Danio rerio: one gene and its partner. Each later gene encodes a partner of the first gene's protein in a complex. Links are inferred from orthologs where the notes say so. Each region holds a gene or a part of one and is shown in the gene's direction. Other genes may lie near its edges. The genes, in order: pole3 and pole4.

The links.
Region 2: pole3 (region 1) and pole4 share a complex: the UniProt entries of both Homo sapiens proteins name them as parts of the DNA polymerase epsilon complex. The link is inferred for Danio rerio from reciprocal best matches to the Homo sapiens genes POLE3 and POLE4.

The regions. Positions count from the first base shown.
Region 1 is NC_133180.1:33,508,228-33,512,761, reverse strand, and holds pole3 (DNA polymerase epsilon subunit 3), read left to right. Parts: upstream 1-1,553; 5' UTR 1,554-1,843; coding exon 1,844-1,909; intron 1,910-2,042; coding exon 2,043-2,128; intron 2,129-2,462; coding exon 2,463-2,581; intron 2,582-3,526; coding exon 3,527-3,702; 3' UTR 3,703-4,146; downstream 4,147-4,534. UniProt on the Homo sapiens protein: Accessory component of the DNA polymerase epsilon complex. Participates in DNA repair and in chromosomal DNA replication.
Region 2 is NC_133186.1:6,331,270-6,335,735, reverse strand, and holds the start of pole4 (DNA polymerase epsilon subunit 4), read left to right. Parts: upstream 1-1,395; 5' UTR 1,396-1,516; coding exon 1,517-1,759; intron 1,760-3,076; coding exon 3,077-3,161; intron 3,162-3,270; exon of another isoform or gene 3,271-4,466. UniProt on the Homo sapiens protein: Accessory component of the DNA polymerase epsilon complex. Participates in DNA repair and in chromosomal DNA replication.

The DNA.
Region 1 (4,534 bases):
ATCTTGATCAACTTGAGATGATGCAGAAGTGTTAAAATATTTTTTGTTGTTTTTTTTTATCCCGACAACTTTGTCCATTCAAAGTCGTCAATCCAGAGAGTAAACCCAATGGTCTCAGACTCAATTCCTGGAGGGCCGCAGCTCTGCGTACTTTAGCTTTAGCCACCTCCAACTCACACCTAGTAGTCTAAAGCAGTGGCTCTCAAAGTGGGGGTCGGGACCCCCCGAGGGGTCGCGGGGCAATGAAGGGGGGGTCGCCTGGTGATTTCCAAAAATCTATTTATTTTTATTAAACCATAAGAATTAACATATTTTATCCATAACTATACTGAAAATAAAAATAGTCGTTTATAGTTACTATATACTATATAGTTACTATAGTAGCTTATAGTTACTAGTTCTATTGGATTGCGACCCCTGGGGTAATAGCGTCAGATGCATTTTGATTTTATTGACCTTATTCTCCGCCGGCGAGTGGGCGCTGCCATTTGACTCTTTTTGGCACGAGACTTCCGCTCTCATTCACTTCCATTCATTTTTAGACATTAAAACTGCTCGTTTCGCTGTTTGATGTTGCAAACTGATATTTCCTTGTTATATTATTCTACTTGGTCTGTATAGTCATGCAAACATTTGTTTATAGAGCAAGTAGTTTGACCGTTTTTTGCCGTTTATTATTTCTTGTCATTTCTCTCATAGGCGACTGAAACGGAAGTTCTAAGACAATCGCGAAAACAGGCGCACTTCCGCATTTTAGAATAAGGTCAATAACATCAGGCTATACTTTCTGGCACATTTAAAGCACTGACACAAATTTAATTGGTGTGTCTGTGTCATTGCATGCAAGGTTTCTGTATTTATAACCACCTCAGAGGATATTGGGGGTCGCGAGTCACTGGCTTTGTTATTTTGGGGGTCGCGGGCTGAAAAGTTTGGGAACCCCTGGTCTAAAGTAGTCTTAAACACCTTGATTAGTTGGATCAGCTGTGATTAGGGTTGGAACAAAACTGTGCAGAGCTGTGGCCCTTCATGAATCGGGCCACACGCTCCTGGAGGGCCAGTGTTCTGGAAAGTTTAGCTCCAACCCTAATCAAACACACCTGAATCATCTAATTAAGCTCTTGCTAAATATACTAGAAATTTCCTGGCAGGTGTGTTTCATCAAGTTAGAGCTAAACTCAGCAGGACACCAGCCTTCCTCGACTGAGTTTGGACACCCCTGGACTAGAGCATAGGGATGTCTGGGTGACTACAAATAAAAACTACAACTACCAGCAGCATGTGAACCACGTGACCATTGTTTTACTATTTTAATTTTCAAACTGAGCTATTATGTATGCATGTTATGGAAACCACGCCTATACATTTAACCTACATTGTTTTTAAAAATAATAATAACAATAACAATAATTAAAAAAAAGAAACACATCTGATTTATTTTCGGGGCTAGCCTACAAACTGACGTCATGCCCAAACGAGCGGACTGATTGGCGGGACAGAGCGGTAAGAGGTAAAAGGTTAACGCGTGGTTTTGGATGATCAAGCGGGCAGCAAAACAGTGAAGTACACTAGCCTTTGCTCCGTTTTTTTCTACAACGAATCAATTTTCAAATAAATAATTTAGATACTCTTCTGTCGCTTTTATCAGGTAAAAAAATCGCCGTTTAACGGAATTCAGCCGTTCCAGCTGGTGTCGGTTCACCCCCGGACAATTTGCTAAGCTAACTTTTAAGTTTTCGCGGTTTTGCAGTTGCTCGGATTGATATCTAAACGTCACGCACATTATTTGACACAAATCTGTTAATATTTATAGCACTAACCGGTTAAATCAGTTGAGCGTGTAATGGCTGAAAGACCCGAGGACCTCAATCTCCCCAATGCTGTCATCACAAGGATTATAAAGGAGGCAGTAAGTGTCATCAAAGCTAGCGCTGTTAGCCATTTGAACGAACACACAAACAAACAATGCAAATACATCTTTAGCATGAAACGCCACTTAAGTTCTGTAGAGAGTTTAATCAACTTGTAATCCTCTTGTTTAGCTACCAGAAGGAGTAAATGTGTCCAAGGAGGCAAGACGGGCGATATCTCAAGCAGCAAGTGTTTTCGTACTCTACGCCACATCTTGGTAAGTCTTGAGAGATTTTGTTTCTGTCTGTATTAAGCACTCCTGAAGTGTGTTCCCTAAAAGTGACTACAGTTCCAATTAATGGAAATTGTAATCATAGGCTAACAATGCATTTGGGAAACCAACAGCAGTGTTAAAATAGTTGCTAACTCTGGTGGAGACAACATCAAAGCTGAGAGGGCCCTATTTAGGTGAAATTTAACAACTGATGTGCTCAGGTATTTGCGAGCTAATGGGTCCTATATTTTAAGGGTTTGTGCAAGTCTTAAGAAATGTTCTTTTTGAAAAACTTCACTCTAGCCAATTGCAATATGTTCTGTTTTGTTAACACCAGTGCAAACAGTTTTGCTATGAAAGCCAAGAGGAAGACACTTAACGCTGGAGATGTGATGTCCGCTATGGAGGAGATGGAGTTCGAGCGTTTCTTGCAGCCACTGCGGGAGGCACTTGAAGGTATTTTATGCTAAACAGAGCCTTTCAGATGTAGAGATGTCAACTTATTAATGCATTCATCATGTATGGGTTTATTAGTAATTTCACCCCAACGTGAAAATTCTGTTCTCTTTTTCTCGTATGTATTTTTGAGTTATGTATTTCTGGCCATCCATTAAAGTCTGTTAAAACTAGGCATGGGACAATAACCAGTTTCCAGGTTTACCATGGTTTGGAAAAGTCTAGATATTAAAACCGTAAAAATGTTTTGTACCGTTTCTAAGGTACTTGTAGAGGGTTTTTAAGTGTTGTAAGGAAATCTGTTTTTGAAGCAAATGAAGATAGAAGTCAATAATTTATCTAGCCTGACATGTTTACTGTTTCAAACTATTATAAATGTTTTTTTCAAATGTAATGTATTGTGTTAAATGGGGAAAAATTGTTTTGTCACCAAGACATTAAAAATATTTATATTTTACAGCAGTGTAAACAGTACCGTGAAACCATATTTTTTATCCAAGGTCATCATACTGTCAGAAACTTATACCGGATCATGCCTAGTTAGAACAGAAAACTATCATGCCTATTCAAGGGCAACTTTTCCATTACAGGAAATATGAAGAGGTTAAGGTCAAGATTGTGTTTTTATGGGGGAAAGATATCACATTGGTGTGAATATCACATTTAATGACTTAATTCACAAAAAATGTAATGTAGGCTATCACCAGAAGCCTTGGCTTATACTGAGTGAACTCATTTTTGATCATTTCATAAACATTTGTAAGTGTCCAGAGTTTGGTTAAATCAACTTACAAGGTATCAAAAACTTCTTGACATTTGAACACATCTTCATTTGTGTTCTGCAAAGATAATCTCTTCTAGGTTTTGAATGATTTAAATGGCAAAGGATGAACTTACCCTCAAATGCATATAACCATTTTGGTGCTAATTTTGTTTATTTAACAGCTTATAAGAAAGGTCAGAAAGGCAAGAAGGAGGCATCGGAGCAAAAACGCAAGGACAAGGAGAAGAAGAATGGCACAGATGAGAATGACAAGAGTAGGGATGAAGAGGAAGATGAGCACATGGATGATGAACAGGATGGGGAAAATGAAGCCGAGGAAGAGGATGTGGAGAACTGATAGAGACCTTACTTTTTTAGTCTGGGTTCCACTTTTATAGTGTGGACAGGGACAAGCCTATGGTACCGTTTTACCTTATGCAACTGAATATCTGAGGCTGTATTACAGTGAGCTGTTGTGCAAGGCAAACTGGACATTCAGTTAGATCAGAATTCATGGACAGATTATTGTAAGTAATTTAACATACTGTCACTTGGGTCAAGAAACCACACGTTGTTTAAAGATTTGAGGTAGGAAGTGAACAGTGAGCAGCTTAAAGTACCTGGGAAGCATTTTTGTAAGAATTTCTTTTAATGTAAAATCTTTATACCGTGGTGTTTCTATTGATTTTATGATTGGGCTCTACAACCCAAATGTTAGATACTTTTGTACTTATCTTTGTACCACTCAAAAATATTTGAGTACTTAACCCCCCACCCCCCCAATTAAAGTTTGTTGTGTTAACTGTGTGACTAATTTATATTCCACCCTGCACACACTCTTGAAATATAGAACTCATTAAATGTTGCAAATATCTGAAAGATTTTAGCACATCAGTTGGTTAACATCACCTTATAATGACCCTCTCAGCTTTAATTTTTCCAACTATTTTAACACTGATGTTTGTTTCTCAAAATCATTGTTAGCTTATTACAATTTACACTGATTGGCACTGTAGTCACTTTTGGGAATTGCACCTCAGGAGTGTTAAGTACAAATTCTAGTCAGGGTTTTACACAAGGAAGCCTTTAGGGATATTGTCTAATGCTGTATCCTAATTTGCATACCATCTGTCCTAAATAGTATTTGAAAATAGTATTAGTATTTTTCAAATCATAGTATGTTGAAAAGA
Region 2 (4,466 bases), on another chromosome or scaffold:
TAATAAGCATTTTTTACTGTTTAAATACATTACGCATATGGAGAGTCCCTCTAAACGACCAATATCAGCGTGTGTGTGTGTGTGTGTGTGTGTGTGTGTGTGTGTGTGTGTGTGTGTGTGTGTTTGTGTGTGTGTGTGTGTGTGTTTGTGTGTGTGTGTGTGTGTGTGTGTGTGTGTGTGTGTGTGTGTGTGTGTGTGTGTGTGTGTGTGTGTGTGTATAATAAGCATTTCTTTTACTGTTTAAAACACATTATCAATATGGAGAGTCCCTGTAAACCACAAATACCAACATTTGTGCATTTGTGTGTGTGTGTACCTTGTACTCATTATGTACACTGTAGGGATGTCCCCATAAATTTAGCAATACCAGTCAATATGGGGACATTTGCTTGGTACAATATAAAATTATTGTTTGATATAAAAGTTATTTAAAAAAAATCAATGTCTATAAGAGTCGAAGAAGGTTGCTGGTTCAAGTAGGGGCCTGTTGGCATTTCTCTATATGGAGTTTGAATATTCTCCCCGATGTGTTTGTGTGGGTTTCCTCTAGGTGCTCCGGTTTTCCCCCCTGTCCAAACACATGCAGTGCAGGTGAATTTGATGAACTAAGCTGGCCATAGTGTATGAGTGTGTGTGTGAACGTGAGAGTGTATGGGTGTTTCCCAGTACTGGGTTGCAGCTACAAGGACATCCGCTGTGTAAAATATATTTGTCCCAACACAAATCGTGTGGACGCCAGCACAGTGTGAGGAAAAGTAAATACAGAACTATGTTCAAGAAAAGAATAAACGTTTGAAAATAAATTTTCAGTTTAGCATTTCCTTATTCCTCCAACAGTAGTGTAATTTAATTATTTACCTGCCTGCACTATTATCTATGTATCTATGTATCTATCTATCTATCTATCTATCTATCTATCTATCTATCTATCTATCTATCTATCTATCTATATATATATATACACACACACACACACACACACACACACATACACACACACACACACATATATATATATATATATATATATATATATATATATATATATATATATATATATATATATATATATATATATATATATATATATATATATATGCAGGAATTTGTTGATTTTATATAAATGTATTTAATTATTTGCATATTTATTTATTTAATTTCTTATTTATGCAGGAATTTGTGGATTTATTTACTCATTTATTTATATATTTGCGTATTTATTTAAATATTGTTTTTGCAGTTTTTGTCCTCGTATTCTAATATTCATTCATTCATTCAAGTAGTCGTTTTTTAACTCTACCGTGATACCAAGCGATGACAAAGTGGTTAAAACAAATTCCAGGCTACTTTACCTTACTCAGTGAAATGAGTTGACCCGCTAGCATGACGTCGTGCAGTGACGTGGTTTCCGCCGTCCTCCTCTAGGTTGTGTTTACAGTCAGATTTGGCGGGAGAGGATTAGATTATCTGCTTTCGGTTCACAGCAGCGCGTTCGGTTGAGAGTTTTTGTGCGTCGATGGCGGCGACCGCGTCTGCAGCTCCCGCGGAATCGGAGTTGGACCGCAGCGGGGCTGAAGAAGAGCCCCGGGGCACCGAGCCGGAGGAAGACGCGGGGAGCGGGCAAACCGGGCCCACCGCGGGCGCACAGCAACACCGGCTCGCCAGGCTTCCGCTGTCCCGCATTAAAACCCTGATGAAAGCAGATCCGGATGTGACTCTGGCGAGTCAAGAGTCCGTGTTCATCATAGCTAAAGCTACGGTGAGACACACGTACACGTGCTGCCTGAGTTTACCCCTCTCCCCAAGTGTTTTATTCCAGTTTTGTATGTCTGTCATGATTACACTGTTTTTGTTTTATGCCTGGCAAGTGTTCCGTCGATAAGTCCTATCCTGTCAGATTTTTCCATTCAAAAAATAGGTAGCATAGTGTGTAATCAAAATATAAACCGATAGGTAACGTTAGCATATCCATCACGTTGTCCTACCAGCATAAATAAATACTGATGTGGAGGGGTGTAATACGAGCTTGTAATGTCGCCTTAACCTACCCCAAGTCCTAGCCTCGCCCTCATAGAACCATTGTTATCTGACTGGTAGGATAAAATGTCAGGACAGGCGATTTTCTGCCCTAGGCAATATTTTACCTGGTGCCCCTTGCCTCACAGCTCATTCCAGCAATAATCATTGTATACAAACGTTTCACACCGCAGATGCCCTGCCAGCCGCAACCCAGTACTGGGAAACATCTACAGTATATACACTTATTCACACACATATACACTATAGCCAATTTAGCTTATCAATTCTCCTATAGTTTTTTATTTAGTGGGCTGAATAAAAAACATTAAAAAAAACCTGTTTTTTTAGTAAGTGTACTTCTTTGGCTTTTATTTCTGCCATAATAAAAATATATATTTGTAGAGCAACTCATGTTCTGTTGTCATTAATATTTTAATAAACTTTAAATGGCAAAACTGTCCGAGATATGTACAAAAGTGATGCATCAAAGTTTGATTTAAAAAAAAGTCTTGAATGGTTATAAAAATGCTCACAATCATTCAAATAATTTATAAAAACAATAAAAATAATAAAAAATATTGAATGATATTATTGATATTACGTATTTCCGGAAACTTCATACTTCTCTGTTTATCCGTCTGATTTTACAGTCAGTTCCTCTTAGTTTTAAAGAATACTACAACGGCGAACACAGCAAGTGTAAAAGCCATGTCCGTTTTGCAAGGTACCCGCGCAGTCAGCGGCGCCAGGTGAAAGTAAAAATCCAGCTTAAGAGAGACGAACAGAGAGACATTAAAATATTGCATTATTAGTTTTCTATATGATGGATCTGTCATAACAGTACTTCTGTCTGCATATTCTGAATTTTCGAGGTCAAACCAAGGCAGATTTGTTGATTTTGTCAGTCTGGATGAGCCTGTTTGTGCATTAACACCATCAGGGCCAGCTCTTGAATTCACAACACCCAGGACAAGACTTTTGTGAACAGCCCACACTGGTTTAGACATTTACATCTCGGTCAACAACACAATGGTCATTATTGTTTTTCTGCCCGCAGGAGCTTTTTGTTGAAATGATTGCGAAGGACGCTCTCGTTTATGCACAACAGGGAAAGAGAAAAACCCTTCAACGCAAGGACTTGGGTAAGTTATAATGTCAAATCTACAGCTGGTTTACAACACATTCAGGTCTATTTTGACCCAAAAGACTTTAATCCAAGTTTTAAACTTTTTTTTTTTTTTTTTTTTTCAGATTTCTTTAGTTCCGTCTTAAAGGCATAGTTAAAATGAAAAATTAAAATGTACTCACTGTTTACTCTCCCTCAAGTTGTTCCAAACCTTTATGAGTATGTCTCCGTTAGAAAATCTCTCCGAGGAGAATTACTGCTGATCACAAATCTGCGGCTTTTCTATTAAAGGGACAATTCACCCAAAACTGAAAATTCTGTAGTTATTTCCTCTCTCTTTACTTTTCACAAACCAATTTGAGTTTCTTTTGTATGTTGAACGCAAGAGAACATATTTTGACAAATGTTTTGAAATCTCTACCCATCAACTTTTATAGCATTTGTTTTTCTTACTATGGAAGCCCGTAGGTACAGGTAGAGGTGTGAACCTATACTGGTCTCAAGGTTCGGTTACGATTATCATGCCATCGATTCGGTTCATTTCGATATCTCGGTGCATTGACGATGTTATATTTTGGGGGTAGCTATAACAAGCTGTCTGTGTAAACACACACATAGACACACAGCACCACACTGTCTCTCATTCACACACATACACAAACATAGACAGCACCAAACAAATATGCACGCACACACGTTTGCTTCCTTCCTTGCTTGCTCGCTCGCTCAGAAGCAATATTTCGAGACTGCCCACTCCTGTTAAAATTACACCAGAGTTATCGATCGCTCACGCGCTTTATTCGGAAATTTGTTACCGCGCCTATACCCAGAAGTATTGTTGTAACAGCCGAGAGGAAAAGAGAGGGGAGGAAAAGTCACGCCAGATGGTGAAATGGGCCACTGAGAGAGAGAGAGAAAGAGAAAGAGAAAGAAATGGAGTTCACTTTTGCCTTGTTTCCACTGACTGGTACAATACGGTTCGGGTCGGTACGGGTCACCTTTATCAGGCTTGCGTTTCCACTATAAAGGGTACCCTTTTGGTGGGCGTGGTGTAAGACAGAAAGTTTCAGTCGCATCATTCTCATTTGAGGAAATGTCTACAGTAAAGCTGCACAGGTCGTTCACAAATCATATTAAAAGCACTTCTCACAAAACAGATGCTTTACACACATAAATACTTGTGTATAAATGTTTATTACTAACTTTTCTATAAACAGGAGTAGATTATAACTGCAGATCAATATCAAAATAGCCTACTGTAACGTCTGTAATTATATAAAATAAATAAATGAACATATATGAACACATACAGCCCCTTACT